Xenopus tropicalis: one gene and its partners. The protein of the gene in region 1 interacts with the protein of each later gene in a pairwise test. Links are inferred from orthologs where the notes say so. Each region holds a gene or a part of one and is shown on either strand. Other genes may lie near its edges. The genes, in order: cep63, smc3, ccdc14, ints6l, ezh2, gse1 and snrnp70.

Region 1 (4,306 bases):
TTATAACTCTGTGTTCATCTTCATTAGGTCTTTGCAAGGCTCCTGTGAGGCTGAGCTGCAGGAACTCATGAGGCAGATAGACATTATGCTGGATCACAAGAGGTCGCAGTGGGAAGCAGAGACTGAAACACTCAAGACCCGTCTAGAGCTGAAAGAGCAGGAGCTGAAATCTTCACTGGACAGAGAAGATCACTTAAACCAGGAGGTAGACCAGTTGAGAAGTTACAGACAGAACCAGCATTGTGGCTTAGGATTAGTGCAGTCTAGTGCACTTATTGTATATTATGCCTTATTTATAAGAATTGGTCACTTTGTTTTCCTGTTTGAAATATAGATATTTCCTCTTCTGCATATTAATCTCTAAGAGGCCCCCAGACATTTCCAAAATGGCGTACAGCTCAGTGTAACTCTCTCAGGTCAATTCTAAGATCTTCTGTTTTGCTTTGTTTCACCCATTCTTCAAGTCACACCTCTTGTAGGAGCACCATTGGTGGATCATTAGCAGATTGATAGGGATTAGCGGCCTATTGTCAGGGGACAAACAGAAACCCTAGAACAATAGCTGCAAAAACCATCATTAACATTTTCATAAACAAGTTTTTACCTCATATTTGCATTATTAAATCTTTATATATAATGGAAGGAACAGTAACGCCTCCCAGGTAATTTTTAATTTTAGCAGCACTTCACTGACACTCCATAAAACTATACATATTTGGCACTGGCATATTCATGAAACATGGCGATTTCTAAATCAGTTGTATTTCCACATATAAAATAAAACTTTGGTATTTAGACCCCTAAATTTTGTTACAGAAGTGGAATTACACAAAAAATTATAAAGTCCAGGTTGTCCTTAAGAAACTGATAGTTTTCATGGGCAAACTATAATTCCCCTTCAGGAAATGCCCCTAAAGTGAAATGACTGGCAAATAAAATGCTACAATTCTGCAGGTAAAATTGTTATTCCAAGGCTTGTGTAGATGTGGGTCTGGGTTTGATGGCACACCAACAGATTTTAAAAGGGCAAAAGACAAATTGTCAGTAAAATTACATCTAAAAGACAAAATCTAAAAAATTTTTACAAAAGTGGAGATAGAGATTTGTGAATAAGGTGGAAAATCCGACAAGTCTATCTGCATTTTTATTTTGTCTCAATATTGCCACTTTTGTGAATTCCCCCTTTTGAGTTTGACCACTCCACAGGATACCCCTCTCTCAGACCTCGGTTATTCCTCCCTCCTGTCTATGACACTCACAGATACATATGTTCCATGAGCATTTAGTACACAACTGTGTTAGTTTGGGATGTACATTATTTATCTTTGAATTATGTGTATTTTTGGGGATAAACTAATCTGATTCCTACAGGTTAGAAGACTGAGACAGCAGCTCATACAGCAGGAAGAAGAGACTCAGAATAAGACTGTACAGTATGAGGCTCAACTGTCAGGCTTTAAGGAGGAGGTGAGCAATACTCTTTAGCCCTGCCTTATCCAACATGTCCTTGCGTGTCATTGGATTTGCTTTCATAACACAGCTGGCCTATCTGCCTTTTATCTCCATACAATCTGTGCCCTCATTAAAGGAGAAGGAAAGGCTAGTAAAGAGTTAATCTCAAGCTGCAGGCATACCTTCTCAGTAGTGCCCTTAAGTCTCCCTATATTTCTCCCGTTCAGAAGATCAGAAGCCAAACAGGAAGAAAAAACGCTGAGCTGTGTAAAGAAAGTTCCCATAATGCCTCACTCCTGCACAGACACCCAGACCAAGTGAACATGCTCAGCTTCCTGCTGATTGGCTCAGATTCACATTCCTAAGGTGGGGAGTGAGTTCTTAGGATTCTTGAGGGAGGGGGGAGCAGGAGAGAGCAGAAAGCTGCATGTCTGTGGCACAGGAATTACAGACACAAGAAATATTTTGACAAAGAAGTCAGTGCAGCGTTTCTGTGAGTGCTTATGGCTGTATTTACATAGACCTTTCTGATAAAGCTTACTTTTACCTTTCTTTCTCTTTTAAAGCAGTATTTTTAGGATCTTAAAATATTTCACTGTTTTGCTCAGTTAAACAGATTAAAAAAAAGTTACGAGAAAGTACAGAAGAAGCACCTGCGATCAGAGATGAAGAATAAAGTAGACGAGGAAAGATCTGAAGTCAGCCGCCTGACGCGGCGGTTAGAGGTATGTATATTTTTATTTATATAATGCTACTTGTGCACACGGCACTGTACTGAACTATACATTCAAGGTAAACCAAAGCTTAAGCAAACAGGTAGGGCAGAAATGTTGTTCATTATGTTTTGTGCTCCTGTACCAGCCAGAGGCAACCACAGCCCTTTAGCAGGGAAGATCTGTGCCCCCAAATATGCCCCAGTAGCCCCCCATCTTCTTTTCTGCTGATTCCCTTACCCATACTCTGTGCTGCTGGCACTTACCTGAGCTTAGGGACCCACTTACAATATACTGTGTGTGTGGCAGCTCTGAAACCAGTTAGCTAGCATCAGACTTTAATAATTAGCCCTGCAGTCTCAGCTTATTTTACAGGCCAACTTCATTTTCTGCTCAATACTTTGTGATGACCCCTAAGCTCAGCTTCTCAACAGCTGCCCAGAGCACACTGAGCATGTGAGCATGTGAATTTCAAAATTCAAGATGGAGGGCTCCTGCGACAACTCTGAAGGCCTGGATCATTGCTGCTACAAAGATGCTGAAACTTTAGGCTGGTTCACTATAAAAAATATGGAATTTTAGCCATATTCATTTTTATTGTTCTTTAAAGGGCATGTCAACCCCAAAAATAATTTTTTGCATAATGAAAGAAAACATAATTCTAAGCAACTTTCCAATATGAAATAATTAAAAATTTGTAGCGCTTTAAACGTTATTTGTAAATGTAATTGCTATTGAAAGCAGCATTTGCTGAACTCCTGGCTGTTACATTTTAAACAATGTCGCAAAGGTCTTGCTTCTCCAGCAAGTCAGGTCTGTCAGTCTGCTGCTTGTGTTACATTGTTTCAACAGTCTGAGCCACCAGGGCAGAGATTAGAAAAGGACAGGCAAACACTGCTTCTAATAGCAATTATATATACCAACTCAAAAACCATTACAAACTTGTAATAAATGTATATTGCAAGGCTGCTTAGAATTTTGTTTCTTTTATTTGCCAAAAATTATATTTTGCAAGTACAAAGTACAGTTAAATTAAAAATTAAGAGCTAAGTGTCAGAGACAAGTGGAAGGACAACCCTCCCATATAGAGTTTACAGTCTAAGTGGTTGTAAGGGAGCTGAACCTTTTTAAATATGCACTTACTTCTTAGATAAAGTAATAGAGAAAGACAATTTATAGTTTAAGTAATTGTAACCTTGGGTGTTCAAGCTTTTGTGGAATGAAAATACTCAACTTCCATGTACTCCTGTGCAACTGAAGGTTGCCTTTGTGTAAGTTCCTGTGTAAAAACTACTCAGTTATTTGTTTGCTGTAATTATGACTGAGCAGATGGACTGCTGTTATTGTTGTAGATATAAATGATCCTTGTTTTGAAAAGTATTGTGATTCTTTTGAATTATACTGTTAATAAATGCAATCACTGGTGGGTGTTCCCATAGGAATTCCGACAGAGGTCTTTGGATTGGGAGAAGCAGCGTCTGTTGTATCAGCAGCAACTGGCTGGACTTGAGGCACAACGCAAAACTTTGAGTGAGCAGGCAGAAATGTACCAGGTATATTATCAGATGAGTTGTTTTTTTAGTCATGCAATGCTTACATGAATTAATTACTTTAATCGGACAAAAGAGCCCTCTCATTAGAAAACAGGACACTCTGCAGAATAATTCTTGGCCCACAACTCTTCCAGTCTGGAGCTGCCTGCCTTAGTTTTTTCATCTTATGGGCTCTTAGGAAGTAATAATTTTTTCACTACCTGAGCAGGACTGACAACCAGACTGACAAAGCTGTATGAATGGTCACTGGTTCCACCAAGGTGGGCAACCAAGGTGAACATAGCTAGTTTTATATTACACACTATGCTGTGATACTTATTGGTCGATACAAAGCACTGGGAATTGTAGACAGATTAGAGTTAATGGGATGTTGAGGTACACATGGATGTTTTCCTGTGTAATGTATACTTGTCCCAAGGTCTTAAAAAAATGGTAAAGTAAATTAATTTAAGAAGTGAGTAGCAATTGCTGTTTCTACACAGAATCCTTACACCAGCATGTCCAGGGGTTTAAAAAATACAGAAACAGACTGCAGAGACAGCAATAAGCTTTAAAGAACCTATTTTAGTAGAGAAGGAAAACTGGGGG
Region 2 (4,306 bases), on another chromosome or scaffold:
CGTACATACCTGTAGCTAAACTCCCGCTTGCAATGCAGCTGCTTATATTTAGAAGCCCTATGATCATTGGACTGTATATGTGTGCGACATGTAGAATATTGCTTGTGCATCCTATAAACCAGCCTATTAACTGAAAATTACAGATAAAGGATTTGTGACCACAGTATATTTTGTTACAAATCACATTGCTAGAGAAGGTGATGCAGTTTCCGCAATGGGACTTTGAGTGTAGACTCACCAGAAGCTGGCATTATGGGCCTGCCATGCTTTCTTTTCATTTGTCCCTTTGTGTAATCATTACCGTACATTGCAGTTCCCCTTTAAAGTGTCTTACTGTGCCTTGCTTATATTCTTTCTTTTTTTACAGTGGGAAGAAATGGATCGGGGAAAAGTAATTTTTTCTACGGTAAGTTCCTTTTCTGTAATGCTGGGTTGTGTCAGGCATGTCACTGTACATGGGGAATAGCTTGTGTGTGTAGGTGGTTACAGTGTAACGTAGTATTTGTAATGAAATAGAACTCCTTCTGTCTCATTATATTGCATAAATATCTGCTCTAATGATTATAGGATCTTCTGAGATGGAAGGTTATGTGCTGTGCTGATATATGGGGGGCTTTTGAAACAATCAAAAGAAATGAATTGCGTAAAACCCAAATTTGAGTCTTGTTTCCAGCACACAGACCTTTAAATTGGTGTAGAAATTATTAATTTTTCCTTCTATTTTTTTTTTTTTCACATATCTTTGTTTAATATGCCTAAATGAGTTATAAGCAGGGCACTGTTTTCTGAAATGTTCATAAGAAACTGCTGCATATTTTGATATATGTGTCTTAGTAACTAATCATTTTGTCATTATAGCCATTCAGTTTGTACTCAGTGATGAATTCAGCCATCTCCGTCCAGAGCAAAGGCTGGCATTACTACATGTAAGTATTCTGCTCAGTCAACTTTGGGATTATTTATTCAGGAAAAAATCTGTACTCTTGCTTTTTGTGATTTGGATCAGTAGGGATTATTGTTGTGGTAACAAACCACAACAATAACCACAGAACAGTCCTATTGGGTTTATTTAATGGTTAAATGGTTCCCTTTTGTCTGTAATAATAAAACAGTACCTGTACTTGATCCCAACTAAGATATAATTACCCCTTATTGGGGCAGAACAGCCCTATTGGGTTTATTTAATGGTTAAATGATTCCCTTTTCTCTGTAATAATAAAACAGTACCTGTACTTGATCCCAACTAAGATATAATTACCCCTTATTGGGGCAGAACAGCCCTATTGGGTTTATTTAATGGTTAAATGATTCCCTTTTCTCTGTAATAATAAAACAGTACCTGTACTTGATCCCAACTAAGATATAATTACCCCTTATTTGGGCAGAACAGCCCTATTGGGTTTATTTAATGGTTAAATGATTTCCTTTTCTCTGTAATAATAAAACAGTACCTGTACTTGATCCTAACTAAGATATAATGAATCCTTATTGGATACAAAATAATCCTTTTGGGTTTAATGTTTTAGTGATTTTTTAGTAGACTTAAGGTATGAAGATCCAAATTACAGAAAGACCCCTTATCTGGAAAACCCTTGGTCCCGAGCATTCTAGATAATGGCTCCTATATCTGTACTTTCCTAACAAAAGGATAGTCAAAGTGAGATGGTAGTGTCCACTTTATTTCCATTTACTCTGTGTTGGGGGTGTAACATTACTGTTAAATGCTTGCATGTGTGTTTTTCTTTTAAAACCTGCATTTCCCATGGTACATGTATATAGGGTCCAGATTCTTTAAAATGTAATAATTCTTTCCTCTCAAATTTAGGAAGGAACTGGGCCCCGTGTTATTTCTGCTTTTGTAGAAATTATATTTGATAACTCCGACAACAGATTACCAGTAAGTTAAAATATTTTGTGACCTATATTTACTCTCCATGAGGGGATTTTTTTTTTAATGTATTTTTTTTTTCTTCTCCTTCAATTATGTTTATTTAGATTGACAAAGAAGAGGTTTCCCTCCGGAGAGTGATTGGTGCCAAAAAAGATCAGTATTTCCTGGACAAGAAAATGGTGACGTATGTGCCGATACATAAACCTTTAACTCATTTTCTGAAAGTATTTGCTGTAATAACTAGATAGTCCTGTATCACATCTTAAATATTTAGACTGTTAACTGCTCTTAGCAGCACATTTGTATTTAATGGATTAGAGATCCTAAATTTTGTTTCTACTTTTTTTTTTTTTAACCACAGAAAAAACGATGTAATGAATCTTCTTGAAAGCGCAGGTTTTTCTCGTAGCAATCCTTACTACATTGTCAAGCAAGGCAAGGTGAGAGCGTTACTGTCTGCTTTACACTGCAGAATTTATCTGTGTGGTATCAGGGAGCCACCAAGTTAATGTAAAACATTAACACCAAAAAATAATATTTTTTTTTAAAGTAATTAAATTATGTGGTCAAATCCATCCACCCCTCTGCACCCAGTAATTTTGTGATATGCCAGTTAAGTAAAATCTAAATGTCACCTTAAAGTTGTGGTTTTCTAACAGCTGCGTTGTAACCCAGTAACTTTGGTAAAAACTATATTTTCACAAAAAGAGTGCTTTTAAATATTTTTTTTATTATAACCATAGTTATTTTACATCCAACTATAGATTAACCAGATGGCCACAGCGCCCGACTCTCAAAGACTGAAGCTGCTGAGGGAGGTAGCTGGGACAAGAGTATATGATGAACGTAAAGAAGAAAGTATCTCCTTAATGAAAGAAACTGGTAATTACATTTTTGCCATTGACTTACTTTAGTATCTTTAGCAATACCTGTTCTCTTTAGTCATATTTTTACATTTTCCTGTCAGAGGGTAAGCGAGAGAAAATCAATGAACTACTGAAATACATTGAGGAAAGGCTGCACACCCTGGAGGAGGAAAAGGAAGAGCTGGCTCAGTATCAGAAGTGGGACAAGATGCGTAGGGCCTTGGAATATACCATTTACAACCAGGAGCTGAATGAGACTCGGGCAAAGCTTGACGAGGCAGGTCTTTTCTGTGTGTAAATGCTCTGTTACTATGTCTAGCTTGCCATTGTGGCTCTAAGCTGCCATTGGCTGTTTGCTCCAAATTTGTCTTGTAACAATTGTGCTGATTTGTCAGTGATTTTCCTTGTAGCTTTCTTCAAAGCGTGAGACAAGTGGAGAGAAATCCCGGCAGTTAAGAGATGCCCAGCAGGACGCCAGAGACAAAATGGAGGTAATCCTAAAAATTATTGACTGTATAGCAATCACCTCCTAGCTCTAACACCAGTGGTCTTCTTAACTAAAAAAAAAAAAAAGGCTCCAAGGGATGCTACAATCAGAAGCCATTCTTAGCAAAACTAATAGTGTTGTACTGTTTTATTATGAGACTTTGACCCTAGAAAATAAACTGAATGGAAACCATGGTTAAAGCATATAGCAGAGATTGGCCTGCATCAGCAGCCCTGGTATCCCAAGACCAGAACTCCCAGCATCTCTTCAACTGAACTGCTGGATGAATTATGGGCGCTTATGCAACATATGAATAGGAATGCCTGCCTATTCTTGGGGTTCAGTTATCTCTGCAGTCATTTCAGTACAGATTTATAAGAGTTAATGTTACTTTATAGAAAATTTACAAATAGAAAAAGTATTGTGATTTAATTCTGATTTAATATAATCCTGAGTCATCAAGAGTAGACTGTCACTTAGTAAGTGGGCTGTGTGCTTTCAATAATGTTTTTTTTAATTACATAGCCGGTTTTATATATACTTTTATATTAATAGGATATAGAACGGCAAGTTCGTGAATTTAAATCGAAGATCTCTGCAATGAAAGAGGAGAAAGAACAGCTCAGTTCCGAGAGGCAGGAGCAAATTAAACAAAGGACCAAGTTAGAACTTAAAGCTAAGGATTTGCAGGATGAACTTGCTGGGAACAGTGAACAACGTGTAAGTAATAACTCGCGTGTATCTGGAAACCACCTGTGCAGCCATACTTGCTAAAGAATACTATGTGGTGCCGTACAGAAAAGCAGAGAGCAGCCTGTTTCTCTAGCGGCCCTCCTGTCAGTGCAGATGTTAGGGTTTTGTCTTGAATCACCTCTGGAGGCAGGACAGAGAATTGAAGCTTAGTGGCTCCTGGTCCCTCCCACTGTATATAAGGCACGTCTCCACCTTCTTCCCTTAGTTCTTTGTCCTGCCTCGGAGGTGTAGGACAGATTCTATCATTACCATTTTTTTTTTTTCTCTTCTCTATTATTTTTATTTTATTTCTTCACATCAAGCATTCAT
Region 3 (4,741 bases), on another chromosome or scaffold:
TGCTGGATATAAGAACCCAATCTAAATGTGACTGACGGAGTGTCTGCACCCCTGTGGCATGGAAATAAGCCCCCCTGGCAGATACAGTATGGAGAATATATAGCTCTTCCTTCCCAGGCACGCCAACCTACCAGCCAGCTCAAAGGGCATCATGGGAATTGGAGGCTGAATGTTGAGCTATTTATAGAGCCAAGTTTTTGGATTTCATTTGCTGGTTGGTCCCACTCTGCCCTCTAGTGTATGTAACTGGGACTGCAGGTTTCTGGGGGAAATAGGCTCCTAATGCTGTATAATCTCTGTACAGCTCTGCGGGGTATGTTAGCGCTACATAAAGCATAATATACTGAATTATGTACCCCCTATTGTAAAATATAAGGATATTGTAAGTCACTAAGTTTTATGATCGTATAAAAAGCTGAATGAATTCAGCAGGAACAGCCCCCTAAGTTTGCTCATAGCCTGTACAGAGAGATACCATAAAACTATGGCACATAGGGATTCCCCTGTACTAAGCACAATTCAGCAGGAACAGCCCCCTAAGTTTGCCCATAGCCTGTACAGAGAGATACCATAAAACTATGGCACATAGGGATTCCCCTGTACTAAGCACAATTCAGCAGGAACAGCCCCCTAAGTTTGCCCATAGCCTGTACAGAGAGATACCATAAAACTATGGCACATAGGGATTCCCCTGTACTAAGCACAATTCAGCAGGAACAGCCCCCTAAGTTTGCCCATAGCCTGTACAGAGAGATACCATAAAACTATGGCACATAGGGATTCCCCTGTACTAAGCACAATTCAGCAGGAACAGCCCCCTAAGTTTGCTCATAGCCTGTACAGAGAGATACCATAAAACTATGGCACATAGGGATTCCTCTGTACTAAGCACAATTCAGCAGGAACAGCCCCCTAAGTTTGCTCATAGCCTGTACAGAGAGATACCATAAAACTATGGCACATAGGGATTCCCCTGTACTAAGCACAATTCAGCAGGAACAGCCCCCTAAGTTTGCCCATAGCCTGTACAGAGAGATACCATAAAACTATGGCACATAGGGATTCCCCTGTACTAAGCACAATTCAGCAGGAACAGCCCCCTAAGTTTACTCATAGCCTGTACAGAGAGATACCATAAAACTATGGCACATAGGGATTCCCCTGTACTAAGCACAATTCAGCAGGAACAGCCCCCTAAGTTTGCTCATAGCCTGTACAGAGAGATACCATAAAACTATGGCACATAGGGATTCCCCTGTACTAAGCACAATTCAGCAGGAACAGCCCCCTAAGTTTGCGCATAACCTGTACAGAGAGATACCATAAAACTATGGCACATAGGGATTCCCCTGTACTAAGCACAATTCAGCAGGAACAGCCCCCTAAGTTTGCTCATAGCCTGTACAGAGAGATACCATAAAACTATGGCACATAGGGATTCCCCTGTACTAAGCACAATTCAGCAGGAACAGCCGGCACAGAGAGATACAATACACACACACAATACTGTATCTATAGAGAAGACAAATGATTTACACTTCTCCCCTATAATCAGTACTTGTGACTCCCAGTCTCCCAGTTGCTCAGAATCAGAAGGTTACTGGGGCTGTTACTGACTCTCCCATAATGCCCCGGGGGAGTAGAAGCAGTTCCGGTCCCTTTGATCCCGGGGTCTCTCACCCGCCCCTTTATTCTCCGCTTCCCTTTCATCGTCTCCAGCGGGAAACTGAGCGGCCATAGAAAGCCCCGGCTGCCCCCCTCCCCACAGAGCCTTTCCCCTCCCGCCGGGACCAACTACACAGGCGCCGCCACACGGACTGACCGACTCGGCTCCCTCAGCCGCAGTATAAAGCTGCCCAGGCCCCGCCCACTCCCCGTTACCCCGGCAACAAGCATTTCTCTTCCCGCCAGCTGTAGCGCGGCTGCTGAACTTCCGGCCGCAGTTGGTATCCATGGTGACAGTTCCGGCAGCGGCTGAGAAGGAGATTCGAACATGGCGAAAGCGGGAGGCCGAGCCGGAAAGGTACCGGGAGCCGGGGGCAGGGCTTGGCGGGGCCGGTAAGGGGCAGATACACAACGGTATATAATGTTTGTTGGTGCGGGGGGGGGGGTAGATATTCCCATGATTATAACCGGCAGCGCCAGAACCATTGGTAATACCTGTCCCCTTTAGTAGGAGCCCAAGGACCACAATGTGGGGCCACAACCTTGCCCCAGGGGACCCCAATGTGGGGCCACAACCTTGCCCCAAGGGACCCCAATGTGGGGCCACAACCTTGCCCCAGGGGACCCCAATATGGGGCCACAACCTTGCCCCAGGGGACCCCAATGTGGGGCCACAACCTTGCCCCAAGGGACCCCAATGTGGGGCCACAACCTTGCCCCAGGGGACCCCAATGTGGGGCCACAACCTTGCCCCAGGGGACCCCAATGTGGGGCCACAACCTTGCCCCAGGGGACCCCAATGTGGGGCCACAACCTTGCCCCAAGGGACCCCAATGTGGGGCCACAACCTTGCCCCAAGGGACCCCAATGTGGGGCCACAACCTTGCCCCAAAGGACCCCAATGTGGGGCCACAACCTTGCCCCAAGGACCCCAATGTGGGCCACAACCTTGCCCCAAGGGACCCCAATGTGGGGCCACAACCTTGCCCAAGGGACCCCAATGTGGGGCCACAACCTTGCCCCAAGGGACCCCAATGTGGGGCCACAACCTTGCCCCAAAGGACCCCAATGTGGGGCCACAACCTTGCCCCAAGGGACCCCAATGTGGGGCCACAACCTTGCCCCAAGGGACCCCAATGTGGGGCCACAACCTTGGCCCAAAGGACCCCAATGTGGGGCCACAACCTTGGCCCAAAGGACCCCAATGTGGGGCCACAACCTTGGCCCAAAGGACCCCAATGTGGGGCCACAACCTTGGCCCAAAGGACCCCAATGTGGGGCCACAACCTTGGCCCAAAGGACCCCAATGTGGGGCCACAACCTTGGCCCAAAGGACCCCAATGTGGGGCCACAACCTTGGCCCAAAGGACCCCAATGTGGGGCCACAACCTTGGCCCAAAGGACCCCAATGTGGGGCCACAACCTTGGCCCAAAGGACCCCAATGTGGGGCCACAACCTTGGCCCAAAGGTGCAGCCAGCTGGTACCAGGGGTGTAGGTGTAGGGGCAGTGAGACACAGGCCCTTGGGGTGCAACCCATGCCCATAACCTCTCCCCATTATTATTTCTGCCAGGTTGTTTCTTCTGGACGCTTGGCCGGACCCGTCAGGCTGGGAATTGGTAAAAAAAGGTACGAGACCATTGGAAAAAAAATAGATATATAAATGTTAAAAGGCAATAGCACTGCCTGTAGCCTGGCACTGACATGACTGGGCATTAGAGCTGTGTCCCTAGGGCCCCATACAAAGGAATGATTGTGTCAATGGGAAGCTCCACCAGCTATAGCCTTGGGGGCCCCATTAGTGCAGTCCCAGCTGCCCCCCCTCCCCCAGGGGCAGTCCTAATAGTCCCAGTGCTGCACCCAGTGCCACGTTGCCATTAATTTAGTTCACGTAATAAACGTGCACCTGTAACTTGTGAACGATTTACCAATGTGAGCTCCGATTGGCTGTTTGACAGGGCGGCGGCGAGAAAGGTTTCCACAACGTCTGTCGATTCCGGCTACTCCTTGTGCTCCACAGACTCCGAGGATCAGGTACCGACACTTCATTTGGTTATTGCTGCCCTTGGGAAGGGGGAGGCTTACGTGCCATTTTGGCCATAAACTTGGTAATACAGTTTGAGGGGCCACAGTCCACTCCGTAGGGGGCCACACATGTAGTGAACTCTCAGATTGTTCTACCACTGCATTATATTTCATCTACATAGAGGGGAGACCAGGCTGACTAATGACTCTACCAGCCAAGTAGTCCAAACTGTTGTAAATACAGATAATATTGGCCTATAAGGTTTTGCTCTTTGGGTGGGGGGCGTATTAGTAACACAAATCCCTGCCGTACACTCACCACCATTAATGTTACACTGCAGGTCTTCGTAATAAATAAAGGGCTGGATCGATGTGCCGCTTTGCTGCAAGACATCCTCCAACACGACACAAGAGGTACAGTGTTCTATGCCAGTGTTCTATGCCAGTGTTCTATGCCAGTGTTCTATGCCAGTGTTCTATGCCAGTGTTCTATGCCAGTGTTCTATGCCAGTGTTCTATGCCAGTGTTCTATGCCAGTGTTCTATGCCAGTGTTCTATGCCAGTGTTCTATGCCAGTGTTCTATGCCAGTGTTCTATGCCAGTGTTCTATGCCAGTGTTCTATGCCAGTGTTCTATGCCAGTGTTCTATCACAGTGTTCTATCACAGTGTTCTATCACAGTGTTCTATCACAGTGTTCTATCTCTCTTCTACTGTGTATGTCCATCCATTTAATCACTCACCATTTGTTACAGGAAACCCGCAGTCCCATCCAACCAAAGCCCCTGTACATAAGGTCTCCATCAGATCTGCCAGCGTCCGAGGCAAAAGGATTGTGCCAAAGAAACCCGGCGCTGCTTCCCACGTGCACAAGGAAATAGGTTGGTTCTGCATCAAGTCTGTGTTGGGTTAATCCTCTTAAGGTGCCCATACACGGGCCGATTGTAGCTGCTGATATGAGTCCCTTAGACTAATTCGACAGCTTATCGGCCCGTGTAGGGGTACAAACGACGGGCCTGCCCGTCTGGAATCTGCCTGATATCGATCGGGCAG
Region 4 (4,962 bases), on another chromosome or scaffold:
TACAGCTTAAAGGGCAATTTAAGCTTCATCAGCAATACTGCAATAACACATAAAACAAGACCCCAAAACCCAGAAAAATGTAATGAAACTTGCATACATAACCTGCCAAATTTTGTAAAATGGGAGTGGTATTTAAGGGGTGTGGTCACAGAAAACGTGTGTGGTCACAAAATTTTCGCCACTAGTAGTGCAGCATCTCTTTTTGTCCCTCTTTACATTTTTCAAATGTTGGGAGGTATGGACTAGCATTCTGGAAACTGTGGCAAAGGCGAAAGTTGCATAGTCCTTGCGGATATTGCCCTGGCTGGAGCTGAATTTAGACACAGGTCCAGACTGAAAATCTAGAATTTCCAAACTGCGGTTCGTGTGTGCCTGGGCACAAGTAACACCCTGGTATAGGCCTTTGTGTACTTGATTTGCCCATACTGTATCTCAGTCCAGACATGCCAGTACTGCAGCAATTGCTATTGTTTTTATTGTGTGCTGCTTACTCTGTTAAAATAAAATAACTTTTTAGGATCCATTAAAACTGTGCCCCCCCCATTGGCAAAATGTTGTAAAGTATAGAATACCCTCTACCGAACTAATTTATAGAAACAACTGGCAGCCTTCAGAAGACACAGAGGCCTGTTTCATAATTTTCTAATATAAAATGTATTTTTTTTCATCTAAAAATGGTATTTCAACACAATTGACTAATTTTTCTATTTTTGAAAAATGGCTTAATCCACTCCATGTGCCTGCACCTGGGCTGATGCAATGGCTTCGAGTGCCAGCACATCAAGAAGCTTTATGGAGCCAGGCACACAGCTGCAATGAGGTAAACTGAGAAACTCACCTTAGGTGGCAATGCCCCTCAAGTTACCAGGGGCACCAATTGCGCTTCCTGCACTAGCGATGCAACCCCCCTCAACCCGTGCTGAAACTCCATCAGCAGTTGCAAAAAGTGATAGGGGTTGGCATTGAATGCAGCTGTCTGAGCTATTCCTTTGTTCTTAGGTGTGCAATTTTGTTTGTTTAATAAGAAGCTTCATAGATTTACTCTAACGAAGTTTATGGAAGCATATGTGAATTTTTTTATTTACTTTTAGGAAAATCTATGCCCTATGAGGCTTGGCACACTGAAAACAACAAAACTGGTGGACTGAGCACTATCAGGGTTGAGGCATTTGCTGTTTTAGGCAATGAATGGACAATTGCAGGCATTTTTGCCAACCATGGAGCTGGAAACCTTTAGGAGATAAAACACCAGACTTTAGTTATTTCTGTCTGTTCTACTCGGGATTTTGGCCACAGTTTCAAACATGTGTGCCGTTTTGACCTGGCCATACACTTGAGTTTATACCTGGTATGTGATTATTTTCATTGCATTTGCGAGATTATTTATGCTGCCAGACTAGAATTAGGCACCTACAATGGATTTCAATTTGCCCAAATAAAGCAGGGACAAAGGAAACTGTATGCAGGGAGCCACGTTGTTACGAATAACTGGTGACAACTCACAGCCAAGAGGTTCTGCAGTGCCAAAGAGACGGCTAAAGTGATAAAAGGAAAGTAATGTACTGCCCCACTAAAAAGAATTGAATTTTAGCGAAAAACGCAACCATCCTGCGGCTGGTGCTTACACCCATCCCTATTAACTTGACCATCAGCAGGAGGTACAATAATGACCTTCCCGGCAAGAGCCTGTTTCACACAGTAATCTGCTCACTGCAGATTACCCAGCACCTCAAGCGGTGAAACGGAAAAAACATGGCGGCCGTGCAGTTGAACTACATTTCCCTGAACTCCACGCGGAGCTAAAATAAATAAATAAATCCATTCCCCGCCTTTCCTCGTTAATATGCAAGGGCTGGCCGCCGCATGGAACCAATAGCAGGGCACAGCGATCACATGCCGCGCTAGTCGGGTTTTGGCTAAGATAATCATGAATATGCTAATTGCGACTGGGGCTTGCCAGCCAATACGGCGGCGGGGCGGTCACATGGTGCGCTGGTAGAGGTTAGGAAGAGAAGTTATCTATCAGTGAACACTGTACAGAGACTCAGAGCTCAAGTGAGCTGTACGGGGGTAGCCCGTTCTTGGGGGCCGGGGACCCACACAACATATCGTTCCCTCTACTGAGACAGGGGTCCAATTTTACCGTCCCACCAAACAAACTCCACATAGCCAGCAAGATACCCCAGGGTGTGGGCACAATAAACCACCGCAGCGCCAGGGTAGCCCAGGCTGGCGGATCCATCGGGTTTCCGCCTATAGTATGCGCTGAAAATGCCTATCTTACTTTTCCTCATAGACACGTCCGCCTCTATGAACCAGCGCACTTATTTGGGTACCACCTATCTGGATATTGCCAAAGGCGCGGTAGAGATATTTATGAAGGTAACAGGAATTGTTGGTGTCTCCCAGCGCGGGGGAGGGCTGATGGGTTTATTTTATTTTTGGGTGATTCGTGTTATTTGTATGACTGTGTATTCACCCCTGCCTTCCCTTGTGTTTGTGTCCCCGCAGCTGCGTGCCCGGGATCCTGCTAGTAGGGGCGACAGGTATATGCTGGTTACATATGACGAGCCACCATACTGCATCAAGGTAAACGCATTTCAGCTACTACCCCGACTCCGTGGTGGTTTGTATCTGGGGAAAAAGCTAGGCCCTTTAGTCGCCTCCAGCCGCACCTGTAACAAGACCCCGTGGGAACGCTCCGTAGGACGGAGGAAAACGGCAGGGCGGACCCGGGAGCCTTGCAGGCCGCGGCGGGCGGGGTGCAGGGGGTGGTTTCGGCGGGAGTAGACGGGTCGCAGCCTCCGAAGATGGCGGACATCTTGCTTTTGTATGGGGCTGAGGCGCCCGAGATGGAGGCGGGGGGAGAGAGCATTGGTGGGCGGTGCTTATGATGTCACAACTCATCGCAATATCATTGGTCTTTGTAGACGTGTTGGACCCACCCTTTCCTGTTTTATTGAAGTGGGCTGCACCATGATTGGCAAAAAAATAAATAAGGAGCGGAGATTACACGAGTCAATGAGTGCATGGTTTAGCATATGTGACATGTCAGGGAAATTTAACTTAAGTTCAAACATTTCTGTGTTTAACAGTTGCGGTGTAAAAATGTGTTATTTAGTCTTGTTTCCTTCATGGCCACTTTTAGTCAAGTTTAATTTAGCTTAACTGTCACTGACTTTAGTTACACTTTAAAGGGGCACTAAGCCGCAATGCAAAGGCTTATACTAAAAATATTTGTATGTCCGTTGTTTAAATTAAGAAGTGTTTGGAGTTCCTTTACTAAATAGGGCAAACTATAAAAAAATAAAAAGTGGTTTCATTTTCAGCCCCTTATGTATAGCTAACTGATCCTTACCTGTAAGCCTGACCCACAGAGTGCTTCTTTGGAAAGGCAGGGGGTTGTTTATATGGAGCAAAAATGTTTCTTAGTGCTTTGTAATAACACATGTAGATATTTTAAAATAGAATATGTTTCCTATTTGTTTTGCTAAAGTTGGGCTATGGTGTACACCTATTATAATAACATGGGTCTCGTTAGGGCTTTAAGTATCTAAATAATGTGGCTTTAATGTACCAAAATATGACTAATATGACAAACCTGACAACTGCTTGTGTTAAAATTATTTGGGAAAGTCATTCAATCTAATTATTTGACAGTAGTGTCCATTCCCAATTTTCCAGTTTCTTTGTTTTGTGTGCTGTGGCAGCATTAATAATTGTTCCCCAACTGGTGTTTAACCCAGCTGGAAAAATTGACCAATGATGCCACCTACTAGTGCAAATGCCAGAGCCACAGGGCAGAGAATACTAAAGGACAGGCAGACACTGCTTCTAATAGCAATTATGTATATATAATTATATGTATATATATACAAATAAGTCAAAGTCCATTGCAAATTTGTAACAACGCAAAGTTGCTTAGAATTATGTTTTCTTTTTATTAAGGCCAAAAATTAACTTTTGAGTTGACTTTTTCTTTCATTCTTTTGTGGCCCCCTCAAAATCATAATACACTCATGCAAATGGTTACATTTATCTTTTTTAACTGTTTTCACTGATTGGAAGCTTTTCCAGATACTCAATTTAATGACAAAAGCATGAGGCTAATGTTCCAACATAGGTGATAACTTGCACAAGTGCATTGCCGATATCTTTATCTTTACCTAAAGGGTAAAAAAAAAAACATTAACAGAGATCTACAAAGACAGATTGTACCATGCACAACATATATAAGGGGCATTTACAAATGCAGCGCAATGCTCATAGTGCAATTTTGGGAGGTAAGTTACCATTTTTTTCCCTGCACAAGTTGCAGTCAAAATTGTCATTGTGGGGCATTATCTTTCTATGTATACCTTTGCTAAATTGAGAACCACAAATAGGAATTATGTTGAAAATGTATTCTCTATTCTGGTAATAGTAAAAAAAAAGTCACTGGTGGAAAATTAGCTTGTTTTCGCTGTATTAAAACTCCCCCCTATATGGGCTGGTAATTTTCTTTTTCAGCCTCCCCTCTGTTGACAAAAATCAGGAAATGACAGGAATTAGTAAAGTTTAATTTTCTTATGTGTAGTGCAAAACATAACACATTCCTCATTTATACAATTTTTATTCATAACTAAATTATAAGGGTATAGTCCACATTCTGCAATTGAGAGGACTGATAATGTTCATGGCGCACACGTTAAAATTATACACATCAATTTACTAGTGCTGATGTGTGGTATGGGCAGCCTTTCAACCCTCTCTTGATTTACAAAATCAAGCACCACTGCTACCATGATGCCACCAACAGACAGGTTCTTTTCCTTCAGTTCTGTATCTGACTCCTAGTTACAGCAAAAGCTTTTAAGAAAAAAATGAATTGCTCTACTAAGCAAGATCGGTAGCAATCAGCAGAAAATTTGATTAGTACCTTAGCTTGCTATCAACTTGCTTTAATGTACAGAGAGAACTCAG
Region 5 (4,812 bases), on another chromosome or scaffold:
CTCGCCACAAATCCGTGCCTGTATGCAGCACCTGGCCAAAGGATACTGAAGCTTTAATGAATCCTGAAACTTTCATACGCAAAGTACGAAAAAGTTGCTGAAATTAATAAACAAATTGCAGAAAATACACACACATTTATAAAACTTAGAAAAAATACAATTTTTTTTGTATCCGGACTCAATCAAACATTGATAAATGGGCCCCTTTGTGTACTTGATACTTTATTTGGATAGGCTCATTGGGACAGGTGTTGTGTTTTAAGGCCCAATTAAGCAGCTGAATTTAGTAAGAAATCACATCCCATGAAATCTTTAATAGATCTTTTGTTTTGTTCCTCGGCCCGGTTTACCCATAGGCCCTGCAACCCGTGTGTAACAGTGTGGCATTAAACCTATTGATAAACAGGTGTGCAACCCATGCTAATGTAGTACTGGGAGCAAATCATAGCTGCATGTGTGCGGCCGGTCAAATACCAAAGCACATAGAAAGAGACAGGCCCACCTTTGTGCCCCATTAGACACTAGAGCTGACTGGAGTCCGTAACATACCATACTAGCCCATTCAGATCGAAGGGCTGTGTCGAGCAGCTCCTACAAATCCACACTAGGGCAAATTTCGTGTAAAGATATAAACTTGTCAGCCCCTCTATAAACGTACACATCAAAGTATTACTACGTTTCGGCCAACATGCATTAAAAACACAGTGGCACTGATCGAGTTCGTTCGAAGACAACTAATAGCAACTATACAACCTTGCACTTCCCTTCCCACAATTCCCCAGCAATCTGCCTCAACCAACACGTTCTGCCGCCAGGTTACCTGGGGCCATTCTGTCGCTGGTGTAGGAGAGCACGTGATCTATAGACCACGCCCCTTTCTACAGTCACCGCCCAAAACGCTTTCAGTTTGAATTGCTCCATTTCTAATTCCGCGCTGCATTGATACGGCGGGAATTGTCAGCGCCCGGTAGGACCGTTCTTAACCCCTATACGGCAGAGTCATATCCGTGTGAATCGTGTACACAAGTCACAGCTGTTATAAAGCGTGTGATATTCATCCCGGCTACTTCAAGAACAGAACAATTATATTCTGAATGGGCGCGCCGGCTGCTATAACTCGGGATAAAACCGATGGCATATTGTATATGTATATATATTTTTTTTTTTATCGTAAACCAGTTGTAAATTTTCAAACACACCCAGAGATGAGAATATTGGTTGAGCAATAAAACATTAATAATGTAGTATAAAGTAAAATATATATTGGAGTAGACCAAAAAGCGCCAGAGCGCGCCCCCGTCTCAGTCAGTTTTAGAGTACGGCCAGAACAAAGGAAAACAGAGTGCACAGCGGCTCTATAACACTGTATGAGGGAATAGCTGGCGCCGGCTTCGTTTTCCCTCTCTGCTTTCCTATTGGCTCGTACAGTTCCGGGCGCCCTTGAGCAAGCCAATTGGAACCTAGTTAGAGGGAGCTAAGCACCGGTCATGGGGGTGGCTGAAAGCTGCGAGAGGTGGAGGTTTATCTGGGAGATTTAGTTTGGCGCCTGGGGCTGGCGGTAGTGCAATAGGGATTCCATCGGTAAGGAGATTCGGGTAGTAAGAACGGAAGAGGAGAGCCAGGCGAAGGGGAGACGGTCATAGACACGGTAATTGAAATAGAGCCTAATTATGTACCGGGCACATTGGTAATGTGGGCCCTATGTGGGAGCAGACGAGGACAAAGGGGCCGCCCCCGGCAACAGAGGGGGAGGGGCTCCAAATGCAACCTTACAGCTGGAGTTTAATGCGGGAATATTTTCACTGTCAAATCGTGGTTTGATTACAATAACAGGGTTGTATGGTCCGAAGTGCTGTGTAATGGAGATTTAACTTCAATGGACGTGTAAGATAGACAATATACCAACACATAAGTGATCGGGCCAATCCTGTGACAACCATAGGATGCCTTTAGCCTGTAGCGGGTTTCTGGTGATTCTGGGAATTGTAGTGTGGCCAGAGCTTGTACTCTGTGTTTCACATCTCTGCATTCGAACGTGGAAGTAGCAGGTTAAGATTTAAACTCTGGTGTCTTAGGGTCAAGGACTGTTGATGCAGTCCAACTCTAAGTTGGACTGAACATGTATTGTAGGATTGCATATCCCAGCAACACCTCCAAGGGTTTGCTAGTCTTCTGCATATCATCTGTATTTGGTGTTGCCTCTTTGTTGGTTTCCAGCTGTTGAACTACAACTCCCAGCACTGACATTGGTGAAAGTTATACTTCAACAACAGTCTGAGGGGACACTGAACATCCATGGCAGGGCAGCTGTCACACATGAAGAGAGGACAACCATGCTGGGCCATCCAAAGCCCTCTTCAGCAAGTCGCAGGTTTCTCTTAATATTCTACCTCAAAACCTCTGTAGGGCCAAGTGACTTTCTGATTGAGGAATGAGAGGAACTGTGTGGTGCCAATATAGTGGTAGGGGGTTAAGTGCTACTGTAGTGAAGTTGCATCAGTTGAGCACTAAGGACTAGACAGAAATCAAGCTTTTTCCACGTACGTTATTGGTGTAGCTAAAACCTGCAGGTGAGGGTGTGCAGAGCAAAGTAAAAAGTTGTCATCAGATAAGAGTCATGGAACAGTCTGTCGGCAACAAGAGGAGGTACTGCGTGGGTGCATACAAGACACAATGCAGGAAGTTGTAATAGTTTTGAAAACGTGTTATACACTAGTGTCATTGACGGTATAGAAAGGGCATGTGTGTGCTGGGACATACATGGGGTGATTAACTTATTGAAACAGACTCCAAAGGGCTGTATGACAGCAGCTCCACGGTCAGCTGTTTTTGTGCTGTATCCGGCTGCTGCTTTAAGAAGTCATTTTGTGCATGACAAAGTTGTGTCAGTCGTCGGATGATATTGTGTGACAGATCATCATCACTTGGTATGTTTTTTTTCCTTCAAGATTTGTCTTGTGTATTTATTTTGTTATATATTAAAATTCCTTTTTAGCTCTAGGGTCTGACCCGCATATCCAATTTTTAAGTGAGTATAGTTGGAAATGCACTGTCAGAAATTGCATCTGATATTTGTACATGGCAGTGGGTGTGTATGATTTTTGGCTGCCACTATGTGCCCACACAAGCAGTTGTTCCAGCTACACTAACACATAAATTGGAGACATGCAGAGGATGTCTATCTTTGCGATTTGTCTATCTTTAGGGTCAGGGTTATGTATTTACCAGTGTCGGGCTGAAGTTTTTCATTTATCTTAAGGCTCTTGCTGGTCTATTATTGCTTCATCGTTAATGTAGTGACGAGTTTTGGTTTATCTGGCATGTTTGGAGTTACTGGGAGTGTGCATTTTCTGTGGCTAAAAATCAAAATAGAATGCGCACTTCTCAAACATCTCCTGATAGGCAGTTGGGTGGAACCAGCGTTGGTTAATGCACATGCACCACAACGCAACTATCACAACAAAATGGAAATCATTGCAATGTCAGTTGGAAGCACTGGAATAGACTCCCAACACATCCATGCCTCTGATCAGCTCGCTGATTATCTTTCCACAAGTGTATATTGAATTTGTCCTATTGGTGCTCTCTCACAAAGTTTGTAAGATCTAGGTAAAACCAAGATGTATTCCACAAGTGGTTCCACTTGTCCCATCCCAGTGTGCACCAAAGTAGGATAGGAAAAATGTTGGACATGGAGCTGCCTCCAGAGTCCTTGTCTGTGCCATTTAATGTCAAGCAGATGCAGTTGGAGACAAACTCTTCAGTAGGTTAGTTATTTGGGACTCCTTTTCCACCTTTCTGGGGCTCTTTGTTCATTACTGCCCACTTGTCTATCTTTCAAGCCCATGATGAAATGAAAAACTGTTCCAGCAATGACTTGGCAGACACTAGCCAGAGGAGGCCATGGACCATATATTAAAAGATGGGAAAGATCTTCGCACCAAAGGTTTTCCCTTTCATTGTAAGATCTTTGAGAGTCCAAAGACCTTTTCTTTTATCAAATCATTCTCTCATCCCAGAACCTTAGGGCAGCACCTTCACCACCAAAACATTCTCCAAGGATTTTAGTGAAGTCATACTTAATGGAAAATTAGGAAATCATGACAGTTTCACTGTCTGAAAAGCAGGGTTTTCTGTAGTTGACTTTAGCTTTTTAAACTCTTGCTAAAGGTGCCCATACATTATAAGATCTGCTCGCTTGGCGATGTCGCCAAGCGAGCGGATCTTCACCCGATATCCCCACCTACGGGTGGGCGATATCGGGTAGCAAGTAACTTAAAAAAAAAAGTAATGGGCCAAACGATCGGATTACATTTGTGGTTATGGGGCATTCGGTTCGGGGACCGCATCGGCTCGTTGATGCGGTCCCCGGATATCCAACCGGATATTCTAACCTGGGCGATCGAGATCTGGCCAATTTCAGGCCAGATATCGGTCAGCCAGGTCGCTCTGTTCTGCCCATACACGGGCCGATTAGCTGCCGAATCGGCCCCTATAGTCGGCCCGTGTATGGGGACCTTTAGTCTTCACAGGTCTAGATAAACACTCTCACTGACTGCTGATCTATGCAGAAGATGGTCGCATAGTGTATGTACAGTGAGTGCTTGATCTGAGATCTTGCTGGTCCTGTTGTGGTGATTCCTCCAATCTATGTATGTATAACTTTATTTATAAAGCGCCACAAGGGTACGCAGCACTGTAAAATACAAAATTACACACAGGGAGGACAAGTGTTGTAATAAATAAATATAATAAATATATATCAATGCACAGGGAATAAGTGCCATGTGGTATGAAACACAGTAGGAAGGA
Region 6 (3,257 bases), on another chromosome or scaffold:
TGGTTTGGCACTAGGGCCAAACAATCAAAGTAGCCACATATCACCCACCTTAGGTGGCCATATCAGGAGAAGATCCGCTTGTTAGTCGACCTTCCACACAAGCAGATTTTACTGTGTATGGCCATCTTTTAACTTGTAGCAGACTATGCACCTTTATTAGACAAACCCTGAAAGTGTCATTGTCATCTTTGAGTAGAATTGCTAACATACTCTCATGAACTTTCCATTCGATAAGCAAAAAGTGGAGGCTCGGCAGAGCACAGTTTCAGTCCCTTTCCCTGTTGTTTTGTACAATGAAGAATAAGCTGCCAGGAAAAGATATCAAAGAATTTCCCTCACCTTTAGTAGAACCTGTTACTAGCTCATTGCTGCTTTAGTTCGTGGTGACGTTGGGCTTTATTCCTAAAAATTCCAGTGAAAGATAGTGCCTTGAAGGAAGGAGAGAGGGGGCAGCACATGCATGTCAAGTAGAGAGATTTGTCCTGCTGGGCAAATGGGAAAGTACTAAGTACTCCATGTCAAAAAAGCCAGTTAGGCTATATCGCTTGCTATTGTGTGGCCTAACCCAAGTGTGCAACCAGGTGTGGTACAATGCAGGGAGAGTGGGCATCATAATGCAAAGCGTCTCTAATGTAATCGTTTTCTAATGTAACAATATATTATGACTACTCCATGCTATGGCACTTTACTAGTTTGCAGATAAATATAGTTAACAAGCATTCCATATTATTGTGCCTTGCTGTATTTACAAAGATTCAGATGTACATGTTACCACAGCTATGTTTCACTTATGCTCCATAATTACAGTTGCTTATATCTCTTTGAAGTGGGATTAAATTGTACTTTTTTTCTTTGCAGAACAAAACCTAGAACGGCAGGTTCTGGAGAAGCAGTGTAAAAGACTAGAATCCCAGCACTATAACCTGAGTCTGACAGCTGAACAGCTGTCACACCGCATGGCAGTAAGTGATGTCCCTGTCTATTAACTTCTTTTCTCACAGTGCCCCTTACGACTAAAAGCATACTTTGGCGTGCAGTCTTTCTAGCTATTGTTTAAAAAAACAAGCCAGCAGTGTAGTGCTTTTTGTGGAAGGTTTCTCTATGCTGGAAAGGTGCATGGACCATTGCTAAGATAGTTCAGTAGATAAGCAGCGTAATAGAGAGGTGCAGGCAAAATGTTTTCTTTATTCTACTTGACATTGACATATTCTTGGCTCCATGACTGTATTTATTTTCCAGCTGTATATCAGTAAATGCTTCTACAGTCAATGCGATTTATCGGCATTTTGGCCTTTAACATGGTGAGATTCTTGCGTTCAGTCTATTTACACCATGCATCTCTCCCCACAGGACTTGATGAGCCAGAAGCAAAAGGTGGCATCAGAAAGAGAGAGATTACAAGCTGAACTAGAACACTTTAGGAAGTGCCTTGTTTTGCCCACAACGCCGTGGTCTAGAGGATACTTCAAAGGCCACCACAGGTGACATCTTGTCTTGCACTAGGTTTGATCGTACAGTATAGAAATATCTATTTTATTATCTCGATATTTAATATTTTTCACTGGGAGGATTGGGAAACATCATCCTATTTCTGTCACATTCTGCACCACCCTGGGAGAAAAACAAAAAAAACAAAAAAAAAATCCATATATATAAATATATGAATGTGCCATGCATGTCTCAAAGGATTATGAGAGATTGAGAGAACAACCAACCTCAGTCAAGGCAAAGCCGTGGGCATTTTCTTCACCACATGATTTCCCTGTTGGCACCACATCCCATACCAGGGTCCCTCATTGACAGACTTTTGGCTGCATCTGACACTACAAGCAACCTAGTGCACTGTCTGCCCTCTGGACTGTACCAAAGTGGGTGCTTACCTTTCTGAATCCACCCTTCATTGCCATCATTCTTCAACCTGAAACCGCATTGTACTGCTTTATTTATCACGGATTCCTTGTGTCCTTGCCACAGAAAGGAAAAAAAAAAAAGTTTGAAAGTTCTATGACTTTTATGGTATATCTTCTTTTAATCAGAAATGTAATATGCTGAAATTGGAGGTTAAGGACTTATTTCTGTAACACAAAAGACAATTTGTCCACGCAGAGCTTTGCAGCTTGCAATGGGAATGCACTTAAACCTGGATCTCAGATTGGTTGAAGGTACCTTTTATTAAATACCTGTCACATGGTCGAGGTTCTATACTGCAAAGCTGCTACACACCTCCCATAAGCAGGCAAAAGGAAACCGATTGGAATCTAGACATACTGATCAGGTGCTTCAGCCTTGGACTGTATATATTACAAAGTTGTTTTTTTTTTTTTTGTTTTTTTTGTAAGTTTTTATTGCTTTAATTATTGTTATAAAGAAAAAAAACTGCCATTTTCAGCGCTTCTGCATTTTTTTTCAGCCAGAGGAAAATACATGTCTCTTTTAAAGTTGCTATTTAGTGTTTGTATTCTGCTGCTGGTCAGGAATTTATCCTATCAAAGTCTTTTTGAGAAAATTAAAAGTTGGAAAGAGAATTAAAAGTGGAAGGTGTTTTTGCCTGTCACTTGAGTGTTTGGGGTGTGTTACATGAGCAGATTTGCCAGTAAGATGTGCTGATTTTAGGTTGTTTTATGTGTGGTATGTGTCTGTTCTTCTGTACTCACACTGGCCTATTGAGGCAGGCATATTCATGTTCACCCCTCTAAAATCTTAGACTAAATCCAGCCATAGATGGGCTGGTCCCGCATGGTATCCTACTGATTGACCCATGAGCAGGACAGATACTGTACAAGGGGCTGTACACAGTATGGCCAATGTTAAATTGTTCTTTTTGCTGAGTCTAACATCCCTGAAAGATCAGAGCAGCAAAATCTTTGTATTAACGTGGTCAGTTAATAGTTACCAATCGGGATCATCCAGCCACTATACATGCCAAAAACTGTATAATTTTATTGGTATATGTATGGCCAGATTCAGGCAGAGAACACTGTGTGGCAGCTTGTGTGTGTATGTGTAACTGTGGTACAGTGATATAATTAGGCTTCAGTTTTATGTTCTGCACTTGATGAAACACATGGACAAAACAATACAGACAGAAGATGATTAGAAGGGGGGGTGGGGGCAGAGTTTAAATAATGTGTGCTAAACAGGTCATCTTCCCAGTGGAATTAGGGATGGGGCAGTCTCAGACTGGGGCACTTGGGGCTCGCCAGGGAACCTGATGCCTTTTATTACATCACCCCCAAGTGAGAACTAAAGAATGTAAT
Region 7 (3,036 bases), on another chromosome or scaffold:
AGGGTCAAACTAAGAGCACTTTTTCATTTAGGAACAAGGTTTGTGCACATTCATGTTCTTAAAATGGCAGTTGATATAGGACTGATTTAAATAAGGGTTTTTACAATACTGAAACCACCAGCTGCCTTTTCATTTTCCTGTGGGGACATAATGGACCACATGCCTCACAGAAATGTATTCTCTTCTAGTATGATGTAGTGCTCCAAGACATTTTCTGAAAGAGTTTGTCATTTTTAAATTAAGCCTTTTGTTCAGCAGCTCTCCGGCTTAGAATTTTAGCAGCTATGCAATTGCTAGGGTCCAATTTAACCTAGCAACAAAGCAGTGGTGCAAAGATACAGGAATATGGATAGAAACAATAAAATTAGGTTTAGCCCAAGAGCAATAGTTTTTTTTTTTTTTTTGTTTGTTTTTGTTTTAACTGCAGTGACCCCCATTTGAAAGCTAAAAAAACACAGAATAGAATATGTTATAGAATGGCCTATTCTTCGCAAATTTTCAATTAGCCAATAGATTTACAAAATGCTTTGAGGCTACAGCTGCACTGTCTGACCTGCGCAGTGCATTCCTGAGGGGATGTGGCTGCCCTGCCATAATCTACCTTCAGAAGTGTGCAAGTTTTAAAGAAGTGGAGGCCTGGGTATCGGGTTAGCTATTTAAGTCACTGGACGGTGCCTAAAAAATGGCTTCCCCAGTGCTTTAAATGGACCAAGAAATAGGTACCGACCAAATAACTGAACAGTCCGGAAGAAACTGAACACAAAAGAAAAAAGATCAGTGGCTGATTACCTCTCATCATATCTAGATGTATCGTCTCTGCCAGAGTGCCTGATATTGACATCAGCTCCGCCCCTTCTTGTGCCTCCAAGACCACCACCTGAAGAATGAAAGAGAACGTTGCCATTTAGAAAGTTTTCGTGTATGTTTGCTATCAGACTCATTACATTCGGTTACTGAACTGCACTGAGAATGGGTAGCAAGTATTTAAATTAAAAGCCAACTAATGGAGGGCAATGATCCACAACACAGAGGGTTGAATAGATATTCAAAATCGCCCCGTTTACATGACGTACAGCAGTGATTCCCAACCAGCGACTCAGGGGCAACACCACCTCCTTTGATATTGCTCCCAGTGGCCTTAAAGTAGGTGCCCATTTTTACATTTCTGGCTTGGAGGCAAGTTTTGGAAGCACAGACACAGTTTTACTCCAAGCAGAGCCTCCTGCAGGCCAGCAGTGCACATGGGGCTACCAAATAGCCAACCACAGCCCTTATTTGTACTCCCCAATGAACTTTTTTCATGGATTTGTGGCTCAGACACTTTTTACATCGGAGTGTGGCTCATGGGGAAAAAACGTTTAGGGATCCCTGTTGTACAGACAACTTCAGTCCTGCTGGGTTTCTCAAGTGTTTAAGAATTATAGGATGTCCTTACCAAGTCTGCGTGGGCGCCATCCCTTCACAGTACGTCCTCTCTCGACATCGACCAACACACGCCTTCCGTCTATTTTCTTCCCATCTGCGTGCTTGTATGCCGCTGTAACACAATGTTTCCAGAAGGGCAGAACAGAGCCAATTAGCTTACATGCACATAACAATCCCCCCCTCCCATACAGGCACACAGTCTTAACCTCTCACATAGAACAAGACTGCTGACTAAATTATGCAGGGCATCAAGCAGAGTTTCTACTATAAACTTATCAAACAAATCCTGTGTTAGCACTTTAACCCTGGACACAAAAGGAAAAAAAAAAAAAAGTGTTGGAGAAGATGCAGTAAATGCTCTACTGGACAGCACAAGTCAGGGTTTCCTGAACAGTTTTAGACTTTTATCAACAATTCATTGTGTTCCCCCTGAATAGAACAGAAGCACAATAAAAAAAACACAATACGGAAACAATCACGATATAGAGAAGTATCTTGTGCCTTCCACACCTAATGGACAAAAGAGCTGAGGTTAAAAATACTTATCGTGTCTTATGGCTTAAGGCCTATTGTCCCAACCCCTAGATTTCTACAGCTTTCAGAGTAAGACCAAAAAAGCCAAATAAGCTATCCAGCAGTAGCATTTCCTTGCAAAAACTCCTCACCAACACTCCAATGCCACCTCTTAAATTTCCCAATCATGCTGAAAGAAAAACACGTTAAAAATGATGTTGTTCCTATCGCAACTTACACATATTGACTTAATTCACATTAATCTTGTAGCCTGTCGCTCAGGGTGTTCAGCTATCAAGCAGATGAGGACATACTCATCCATCACAAACGACTGCCTTACCTGGCAGCATTTCAAGTCGGTATGCCAGAAGGCAGTATGTGTCATGGTTTAAGCTGAATGTGAAGACTAGTTTTGGCCACAGCGCTGCACACTTGTAGTTTGATGTTTTAAACTACTGCGGTGTTTATAGTCCCTATAACCATTCGCATATTGCTATAGCCAAGAACTACCATAAAGCAAGATGAACTAAAGACAGTACCACTAAAATAAGTGAAAAAATAAAATTTACCTGGTTAAACTACTTACAAAACCTTTCAAATTACCGCCTCAAATTCAACGGAATTTCATGACGATATCTTGGAAAGATGTTTGAACCTCGAGAAGTTCCTCTTTTTTTTTATTATTTAAACTGGATTTGAACTGACGAATTTCTCGCAGCTGAGAAACTGTCTTACCTGCCTTGGCTGCCTCGATTCTTTCCATTGTAACAGTATATTGACTGATTTGATGAATAGTTGAATGGTGGTTGCCAGTATCACAGAGACTCCTGCTTTTGTCTCAATTGATTTTTTTAAGCCAGCAATGGCACGATCTATGTCCATACTGCAGAACATTAGGATCATGCCCACACATTATCCATCATCTGTTCCGCCTCTCAACTACCCAGGGTTAAATAAATTGGATTGTGCTACATATACTTACTTCCTACCCGTGGCAAGAAATCGGCATTTCTAGGGGAGGGGTGGGGGAGGGAATTGCATTAAAGAAATGACAAAAAAAGAACAGGTATAGATAAAGCTATCCCAAGAGGAATGAAT

Evidence for each region.
Region 2: the proteins of cep63 (region 1) and smc3 interact in a two-hybrid assay, tested with the Homo sapiens proteins (2 studies listed by BioGRID and IntAct). The link is inferred for Xenopus tropicalis from reciprocal best matches to the Homo sapiens genes CEP63 and SMC3.
Region 3: the proteins of cep63 (region 1) and ccdc14 interact in binary tests that used the Homo sapiens proteins (3 or more experiments, as listed by UniProt). The link is inferred for Xenopus tropicalis from reciprocal best matches to the Homo sapiens genes CEP63 and CCDC14.
Region 4: the proteins of cep63 (region 1) and ints6l interact in a two-hybrid assay, tested with the Homo sapiens proteins (2 studies listed by BioGRID and IntAct). The link is inferred for Xenopus tropicalis from reciprocal best matches to the Homo sapiens genes CEP63 and INTS6L.
Region 5: the proteins of cep63 (region 1) and ezh2 interact in binary tests that used the Homo sapiens proteins (3 or more experiments, as listed by UniProt). The two-hybrid records come from large-scale screens. The link is inferred for Xenopus tropicalis from reciprocal best matches to the Homo sapiens genes CEP63 and EZH2.
Region 6: the proteins of cep63 (region 1) and gse1 interact in a two-hybrid assay, tested with the Homo sapiens proteins (2 studies listed by BioGRID and IntAct). The link is inferred for Xenopus tropicalis from reciprocal best matches to the Homo sapiens genes CEP63 and GSE1.
Region 7: the proteins of cep63 (region 1) and snrnp70 interact in binary tests that used the Homo sapiens proteins (3 or more experiments, as listed by UniProt). The link is inferred for Xenopus tropicalis from reciprocal best matches to the Homo sapiens genes CEP63 and SNRNP70.

Annotation. Positions count from the first base shown.
Region 1 is NC_030681.2:130,326,251-130,330,556, forward strand, and holds part of cep63 (centrosomal protein of 63 kDa), read left to right. Parts: intron 1-27; coding exon 28-205; intron 206-1,371; coding exon 1,372-1,467; intron 1,468-2,060; coding exon 2,061-2,177; intron 2,178-3,604; coding exon 3,605-3,718; intron 3,719-4,306. UniProt on the Homo sapiens protein: Required for normal spindle assembly.
Region 2 is NC_030683.2:2,845,242-2,849,547, reverse strand, and holds part of smc3 (structural maintenance of chromosomes protein 3), read left to right. Parts: intron 1-367; coding exon 368-406; intron 407-858; coding exon 859-926; intron 927-1,825; coding exon 1,826-1,897; intron 1,898-1,995; coding exon 1,996-2,075; intron 2,076-2,252; coding exon 2,253-2,331; intron 2,332-2,655; coding exon 2,656-2,773; intron 2,774-2,858; coding exon 2,859-3,034; intron 3,035-3,167; coding exon 3,168-3,248; intron 3,249-3,799; coding exon 3,800-3,964; intron 3,965-4,306. UniProt on the Homo sapiens protein: Central component of cohesin, a complex required for chromosome cohesion during the cell cycle. The cohesin complex may form a large proteinaceous ring within which sister chromatids can be trapped.
Region 3 is NC_030685.2:88,353,244-88,357,984, forward strand, and holds the start of ccdc14 (coiled-coil domain-containing protein 14), read left to right. Parts: upstream 1-1,674; 5' UTR 1,675-1,952; coding exon of another isoform or gene 1,953-1,993; coding exon 1,994-2,023; intron 2,024-3,238; coding exon 3,239-3,294; intron 3,295-3,623; coding exon 3,624-3,699; intron 3,700-4,031; coding exon 4,032-4,104; intron 4,105-4,443; coding exon 4,444-4,569; intron 4,570-4,741. UniProt on the Homo sapiens protein: Negatively regulates centriole duplication. Negatively regulates CEP63 and CDK2 centrosomal localization.
Region 4 is NC_030684.2:68,649,250-68,654,211, forward strand, and holds the start of ints6l (integrator complex subunit 6 like), read left to right. Parts: upstream 1-2,000; 5' UTR 2,001-2,271; coding exon 2,272-2,382; intron 2,383-2,511; coding exon 2,512-2,589; intron 2,590-4,962.
Region 5 is NC_030682.2:55,123,583-55,128,394, forward strand, and holds the start of ezh2 (histone-lysine N-methyltransferase EZH2), read left to right. Parts: upstream 1-1,556; 5' UTR 1,557-1,648; intron 1,649-2,217; exon of another isoform or gene 2,218-2,333; coding exon of another isoform or gene 2,334-2,371; intron 2,372-4,812. UniProt on the Homo sapiens protein: Polycomb group (PcG) protein. Catalytic subunit of the PRC2/EED-EZH2 complex, which methylates 'Lys-9' (H3K9me) and 'Lys-27' (H3K27me) of histone H3, leading to transcriptional repression of the affected target gene.
Region 6 is NC_030680.2:64,862,188-64,865,444, reverse strand, and holds the end of gse1 (genetic suppressor element 1), read left to right. Parts: intron 1-858; coding exon 859-962; intron 963-1,350; coding exon 1,351-1,485; 3' UTR 1,486-2,531; downstream 2,532-3,257.
Region 7 is NC_030683.2:113,692,059-113,695,094, reverse strand, and holds part of snrnp70 (U1 small nuclear ribonucleoprotein 70 kDa), read right to left. Parts: intron 1,538-3,036; coding exon 1,436-1,537; intron 878-1,435; coding exon 790-877; intron 1-789. UniProt on the Homo sapiens protein: Component of the spliceosomal U1 snRNP, which is essential for recognition of the pre-mRNA 5' splice-site and the subsequent assembly of the spliceosome. SNRNP70 binds to the loop I region of U1-snRNA.